Linked DNA regions of Drosophila melanogaster. The protein of the gene in region 1 interacts with the protein of each later gene in a pairwise test. Each region holds a gene or a part of one and is shown on either strand. Other genes may lie near its edges.

Evidence for each region.
Region 2: the proteins of Btk (region 1) and Cad96Ca interact in a two-hybrid assay, tested with the Drosophila melanogaster proteins (one study listed by BioGRID).

The regions. Positions count from the first base shown.
Region 1 is NT_033779.5:8,299,051-8,302,976, forward strand, and holds the start of Btk (bruton tyrosine kinase), read right to left. Parts: upstream 1,697-3,926; 5' UTR 1,456-1,696; intron 1-1,455. Other genes in the region: wol (wollknaeuel), read right to left, coding at 2,487-2,829, 2,886-3,282, 3,474-3,648, 3,708-3,773. UniProt on the Drosophila melanogaster protein: Required for proper ring canal development. Also required for the development of male genitalia and for adult survival.
Region 2 is NT_033777.3:25,206,463-25,210,388, forward strand, and holds the start of Cad96Ca (cadherin 96Ca), read right to left. Parts: upstream 1,822-3,926; 5' UTR 1,658-1,821; intron 632-1,657; 5' UTR 587-631; coding exon 451-586; intron 1-450. Other genes in the region: CG13654 (uncharacterized protein), read left to right, coding at 3,837-3,926.

The DNA.
Region 1 (3,926 bases):
GCGCACAGCGGATTAAAGGATTAGCCCCCAAAGCGGCATATTCCCCATTTCCTTGCCACCTTGTCCCCACAACTTCCATTTCGCAAAACGAGAAGCGTGTACGCAAACAAACGGGCCGTTGAAAAGGTGGCTCCAAGCGGAGGAGCAGCCACCACACGATCTCTGGCATTATCACACTTCAACAAAAGCTAACAAGACGCAGGAAGACTCCAGGAGCGAAGTGCTCTGAATTCGGGAATGGTTGAGTTATTGATTTATTTAAACATCTTACTAAGGATGATTTTAAAAAGAGTTTGTTTAATAAAAAAAAGTTTTAGTTTTCTTTACTCTGACGATATGATTTTCTTTATCTGATTCACAAATCCGCTTCTGATCATCAAGGAACATGAACGGACGCGTCTGCAAAAAAGGGAAACAAAGCTAAGGCGACAAATGCTCGTGCGACAACAACAATTGGCTGGATCTCCTGATCAACTCTTCCTCCTCACCGTCTCCTGACGCCCCCCACCCCCCACGCGCTTTAATCAAGCAGAGCCGCTACAAAAACAGGAGCGGAGTGCGGGGGCATGGGCGAACGGAGCGTAAAAAGAGAGGGCGAGAGAATCAGAATCTTCAGCGCAACGCGCATGGCCATAAGTAATAAAATAAACACGGACCGAGGCACAGAAAGGAAAAAAAGGATGGCAAAAAGGCAGAAGGCGCAATGTGTACATAAATCTTTTTGGTGGAGCGAGAGGCCCAAAGACCTGGGCTATAAGCACATCAATATACATACATATAGTATATATGTATATATACATATAGCGGGCGTGGCCTGGCAACTCGTTTTTGACTTTGAATTTCGCCACGCAAATGGTCGCGCTTAGTTTGTATTCTTCTTTGCATTTAATTTTTGTTTATTGTCGCGCTTTTTCTAGTGGAAGAGGAAGACTGGAGAATCTGCGACCTTAGCAAGAATTTCAGTCTAATTTGAAATCAATTTTTGAGTTACTTTATATTCCAAAAAGATTGATTTTTAATTTAAAATAAGTTAAGCAACTATGTAAACGATATTTTTTTAGCAGTACTTCTATTTGTTATTATTACAACAACAAAAAATTTCGTGTAATTAGTTTCTATTGTGACTTTAAGCTAAAGTCGCCATAAGCTGATTAATAAAATCAGCACAGCATAATTATTTATATTAACTTTGATTTGTTTTTTTTTGCGTTGCACGATGCCTTAAAATGAAATGCATTCAGAAAATGCAAAAGCAAGGGCGTCTGATTAGAATGCGTCGAGCACAGAGTTCGCCTTTCTTATCAGAATACAATAGTTTCAAGCGCAGCTTGCTGGGCAATTGAATAAATGCTGATAAGACAAAGAACAAAAGAAGTATGTATGTAATTCGATAGCGATAAAAAGGGGACGGAAAGGAGGAATAAAATTGATAACTGTGCCAGTTCACCAGCTTACCACAAGTGCCGTTGATTGAGCAATTTGAAGCAATGACCCGACCGCATAGCAACAACAATAACAGCAAGTACAACAACAACACCAGCAGCGCACACCACTAACAAATCACAATTCTCCAATTGGAGGGGGCAGACGCAACGGGTAACGCAACAATAACAAAACACTTTCGTTTGCGCGGCGACGAGAGTAAATACGAAATATCAACCGACCGGCTTGTTCAGCATTTGCATACTGCGAAAAAATCTTTATAAACAATATATAACGCAGGCACAGCTGAGACGCTCACACAGACGAGCAGACACCCGCACACACCTGCACGCAATTTTGGAGAGCGGGAGAGGAGCAACAGGCGCAACGTAGGATTCCTGGAATTCCTTACTTAGCGGCGCCCATGGCAGTTGCACTCGCGATCCTACGCTTTAACTAGAATCTTTTCCGTTTATTCACGTGGCAGCTGTATCTATGTTTGATTGGTTTGTTTACACTAATTAACTGTAATTAAATAGTAACGATTTAATACGAAACTAAACGCGCCGCCGCAACTTCTTTGCAGTGTGACCGCACTTCGAGTGGGGAGATACACCGATATGAAAATAACTACTCTTAAAATACCAGAAGAATACAAAATACCACACATACTGCCTTTTATTTTATTTTCCCGCGTATTTCAATATTTCAAAAAAATAACTAGTGATTTTAATTATTTCTTCGTTCCAAAATTAAACAAGCAATGTGACGAAACTTTATATATTTAAAGCGCAATATACTAAAGGAAGACGACTTGGTATAGTTACTTTTTTTAGATTACTAACAATTTAGAACCATTGCCGCGCAATTTTATTCAAATCAATTATTTTTTATTTGAAAAAATACTGTACTTAAGTACTTAACTAGCTAGAATTCGTTACACTTTATCAGGCCTACAAAAATAGAGTTTAGAGTTAAAAGAGTTTTGGTAATGCACGACAGCGGAGTAAGTTCGACACAAAATGCTAGTTAATATTGGGAATGAGATGCCCTCCAAGTCCACATCACTTTTCCTTCTTCTGTATGGAGGCAATCCGCCAGGCGCCCACCAAATATCGCACCCAGATCATGAACAAATCCCTGCCCATTTGCAGCCACGACCAAAATGGTGTCAGTTTCGAACCATCGATCTCCGTCCATCGAACGGCAACCTCGGACATTGGTAGCTTCAAATTCTCAGCGAGGTACAGCAGCTCAACATCAAAGGCCCAGCGCTCCACATGCAGACTGGTGAAGAGTTTCCTGGCCGTCGTTCGGGTGAACAGCTTGAAGCCACACTGGGTATCGCGAATGGAGCGCACGGCAAACAGCCAGACGAGGAAATGAAAGCCGTGCATCAAAATTGTTCTGTGGCAACGCAGATCAGTATTTGGTCAGCTAATAAATGTAGGATTTTATCTTACCTGAAGAAACTCCTTGTTGCAATCGCATCGTTCTCCAGATGTGCTCTCGATCCAATGGCAATGCCATCGTCTCGCCATTCGGGAGCTAATTGCTTGAGGGCCACCTCCAGTTTATCGTAGTCGGGAAACTTGGTGGCTCCATCCGCATCAGCGAAGAGCAGATTACGACCCCGTGCACTTAGCATACCCATGCGAACGGCACCTCCTTTCCCACGATTTTCGATGAGTTCCAGCACGCGTACCTTTTCTGCTCCGTGCTTTTTCGAGTAACCCAAGGCGACGGATACGGTGGCATCCTGACTGCCGTCACTGACCACGATGACCTCGTATGTGAAATTGGGAGTGCCAGCAGATTTCTGTTCCAGAAAGGCCAAGCACTCGTCCAGCATAGAAGGCACTAAACGAGTATAAACACACACAAATGAGAACAAGAAAATCGAATAGCTTTTGGGGAAAGTAACTTAAAGTAACATGTTAGTGTAATGAAGTTTCTGTAGATAAATTCGGGTGCCAGACAATCAATCACAAATGGGCATAGATAAAATGTTGACTGTGATTCACCAAAACAAAAACAAATAAGCAACATACAGCGCTGCTCCTCATTGTAAGCTGGTACGATGACACTGAGCTCCAAACTTGGCGAGTCCTCGAGACTGGGAAAAGTCACTGTTTTAATGGTGTGCGGGTCCAGGAAGGTCTCCTCATCCTTGTGCCGCTTGATGTTGGGATAGGGCTTCGTCTTGTAGAGCACCAGAGCCGCAATCTAAACGATGGATTATCAGTAAAAATAAGAAAGATAGGCGAATGTATTCAAGATCTGACCGACAGCGCAGCGACTGCAAGCGTCGAGAGTAGATAGAAACAGAGCTGGCAGAGGCAGGTCCACATTGTAGGGCTTTTTTTAGCAACTAGTTTGTATGAACAGGTGCGCCTGCTACCTGCCAGCAGACATTACTTCTCCAATTTGTGCGAGATAAACAGAGCCACGTATTTAATTCCAAGAATTTTAGACCGAAATGCCGCAGCTGATTAGGGTTGTCA
Region 2 (3,926 bases), on another chromosome or scaffold:
ATTTCTATGCCCAATTTATTGCTTTTTTATTAAAAGTGCAAATAAAATTCAATCTATTTCCTGGCCCATTAGTCGAATTAAGAGTTCAAACACCGGGTATTAAACGCCTTCGCCAAAATGTCGCCCAGCAATCTGGTGGAGCATTCACGGTCAAGGCTAAATGTACTGGAGCTCAATTTCATTTGTTTTTCTCGCCCACGGGGACAATTGGACCATTGTGGGACTTCAAGAGCGATTCGCATTGTTTCGGGCGCCAATTACGCATCAATATTGTGGTCATTAACGTGTTGCGACATCGCGATAGACGGAGACTATTGACCCGATACCCTCATATAGCCAATCTGACAGATAATCTACAATAGTTGGACGTGTGAAGGGTGCCAACATAATGTGTATGCTTAATTACAGTTGTAACCAGGCCCTACAGAATATTCACTTAATAACACTTACCTTCTTGTGAAATCAGTGAAACCACTGTGGCTGTGACCACAATGATGGTCAGCAGCAGGCTTCTTCTCCGCCAGGAAGTTAATTGTTTTCTGCAGTGTATTATCCGACTTTCGTGGTTGTGATGGTGATAAACCATTGCGCAATCAACCGCCTAAAAGGCAGCCTGCCAGATGTCCGAGGACTGAGACAAGGTGATGAAATTTTAATTAAAAGCTGCTGCACAACGTGTTCAAAAAAATCGAAAACAAGAAAAAACATATAAACGCGTGGGAGTTTGTGTCGTCCGCATTCTGCAGATTCCGCCATAGAAATGGGTTTTATTAAATTAACAAAGAGGAAACAGTCGTTTGTTTTAGCCCGGAAATATTGCATGCCAAATGCCACTGCCAACTGGTTGCAATGATCCAGCATACAATATATGATTGTTGAAATATTTAAGTGAAGGGCAGACATCACGCCCAACTAAAAGAAAATATAACTTAAGACGCTGCGCGTCATGAAGCGGGTCGGCGATTTCTCTTTTTGACGTATACGGCATCGGGTGCATGGCGCAATAGCAAAACAAACTGGGCAACCGAGCACAACCCCAATATACATGTACAAACAGCAGCGGTCAAAGCAATAGCAGCGACAGGCCACTCAACACTGACAAAGGAAAATATTTGAAAAATCTCCAGAAGAGTCAACTACATTCAAATAGTTTCACATAACTTGAAACACGTTAAACTATATTTTAATGGAATATTTATAAAAATTGTAGGTGTTTACTCTTCTAATAGAGCATTATATATAAAGACGACCTTGTCTTTAATTATCTTTATATTTTATGTATGACTTTAGATCTTTGTCCGCAACTGTATGTGCACACTCTCACATAGTTTAAGATCGCACGGAAAAAGACAGATAGATTGGGACGAAAGAGAGCGGCTTGGGAATGCTTTGTGTATTCAAATAATTTAAAAGGAAGTTTAGAAACTGAAGAAAACGCCTAGGTGAGGTGTGCTTGCTCTCCATAGCAAGACAACAAAATAAAAGCTCATCATTTAATTATATAAATATCCACATTGGGCCATCAAAAGAGGCCATTCCAATATGCTAATTATTGAATTCACACGTCTGTTTTTTTTTTTTTTTTTGGTAACAATGAGTCACCCAATTGCACGTAGTATATATTTTAAATTTGATTTTCATTTGCAGCCATTATTACTTTTATTTTAGGGTGGGATTTTCGCTGAATTTCACATATATAGATTGTACACAAAGCCACTGAAACTGGTATCCACAAACTTTCACGGGTTGCGTATGGGGCGATCCCAGATCGGTGGGACTTGATCGGCGATGCGTTGAACCACTCGGCGGACAGACAACTGAAGCTATAGATCCCAGCCCCAGTCCCAAAGACCTCTCCCGAAATATCCGCTTACTCGCGCTCTCAAAAACGAAAAACTTGTTTAGCCGCCACAAGAAACGAACTTGAACTTGCTCTCTTGTGGATCGCATTTGCTCAGAGCCTCTCTTTGCTCTCTCTCTCTCGCTTGGAATTGTGTTTGTGGATCGGAGCATTATTATTAATTGAGTTATCAGTAGTTGGTGCAGATTATTGTGTACTTGAATACAAATTAGACACATAATCGGCCATTGATAAGAATAAGTAATTATTTTAAAATCGTTAAGGCTTCGTCTTGCATATTGCCCAACATTCTCATGTAAATATTGTACATATAAAAACCAAGTCTAATCATATGTTTCTCTTACTAAAGCACTCACTCACGAGTTCATCACGCATTGCCTTGGGATTTCCCCCATTTCCCCGGAACAATAAAGCTTAGTGCTCCGAGACCCATTCATTAATCAAAGCGCTTATCTGTTTAGCGACCATCCGATATCTGGTGGATATATGGGGTCGATTGCAGTAGCAGCGTCGTCAATGGAAACGCCGCGGAAGTTCAAAAACAACTCAACAAAGCTTTTCCGCGACTGCTTATTTACCTAAGTGCCAGTATAGTTATTTGCTTGCCCAAATGCATTGTAAACTCGAATGCGTCACGCGGATTTTTCCCGCGAAAAAAGGTCAAAACCTCTCTTAAGACACATTCAAAGATCTTGAACATCTTCAAAACTTCCAATATACGAAAGGTATAAAAAACCAAAAAAAAAAAGCAGGTGAGCAGAGCTCATGCTTTCAGTCTATTGGCGACCGGCAGAGTGGGATGTCATTATTCGGTCGAGCATAATGTGTTTGATATATATATCTCACTCAGCTTGATGAATAAGTAAGCAGATATGTATTATCAGCAAAAGCAAGTGTTTTAAGTTTGAGAAACATTTTTGCATCGTTTACGCATCAATAATTCACATTCTACAGTGCCCATTAAATATTCGAGTGAAAAGCCTATTGTTTTGACACACTGAATGAGCTCAAAGCTAAACTGATAAGAGCATGTTTGTTTCCACAACAGTTCGATAAGAGAATTGAGTGGTACTGATAAGATCTTAGGTCAAGCACGAATTCTACGAACCGAACCAGCATGCGTCAGTTGCTTCGCGACTCTCATTCAGAAAACACATACGTTGACTAATTAAAAGCTCGCTCAAAGCGATGTATAATATAGATGCATATAGCTCATAAACAATATAGAATTCGGCCCTAATATTTAGCTTGTTGAGTGTAAACAAATTGCATGTAGAACTGCAACAGGTATGGATAAATCAAGATGAAAAATAATTGTGTTCATTTTTGGTCAATATGCCTTTTTATGTGACAGATTATGTGGTGGAGTATCTATATATTTCGGTGGGCATGAGGTAAGCCCACGGATAGTCTGCAGTCTGGTCGAGATAGCTCTCCTAGTGCTTTGGGGGCTACAAGTCGGCCATAAATTATAGTAGGTGTTAGCCAACAATGCACAGTTCAGGCCCAGCGTCACCGCATCGAGTGCAGAAGTTTTTTATTTTCGGCTTTTGCCGGACAAGTTCTCCATAGCACCGAATCTACATTGGTTTTGGCCGCGCCACACAAATGGGCCGGAATTTGGCATTTTTGCAACGGTGCAATTTACTTGCACAAGCTAACAAAAAGGCTTTATGTCTGTACTTGTGCCAGAAAGTTTGGGGTTTGGGAATATGTACATTTATGCTCATCCGTAGGCCCAGCATTATATGTTATCCATGTCCGCATCGTTTGGGTTTGTCCGTGGGCACAAAGCCATCCCCTGTATGTAGCCCATTCTAGTTGAGCCAACTTGCTCCTGGAAATTGCACGCGAAATAAAAACAAATTACTGGTATGAAAGTTTGAGAAGGATGCTTTTTAAATCATACTTAAAGTAAATGTGCACTTTTTCAGCGTATTACTCAACTAATTAATGCCAATTGTTTTCATTCCAGGAGTTACCATTACTTGTAGAAACACAATGATTCAAATACTCACACATCGTCCCAACTTCAGTCCTCTGGTGGTCTTCATGTTACTTCTAG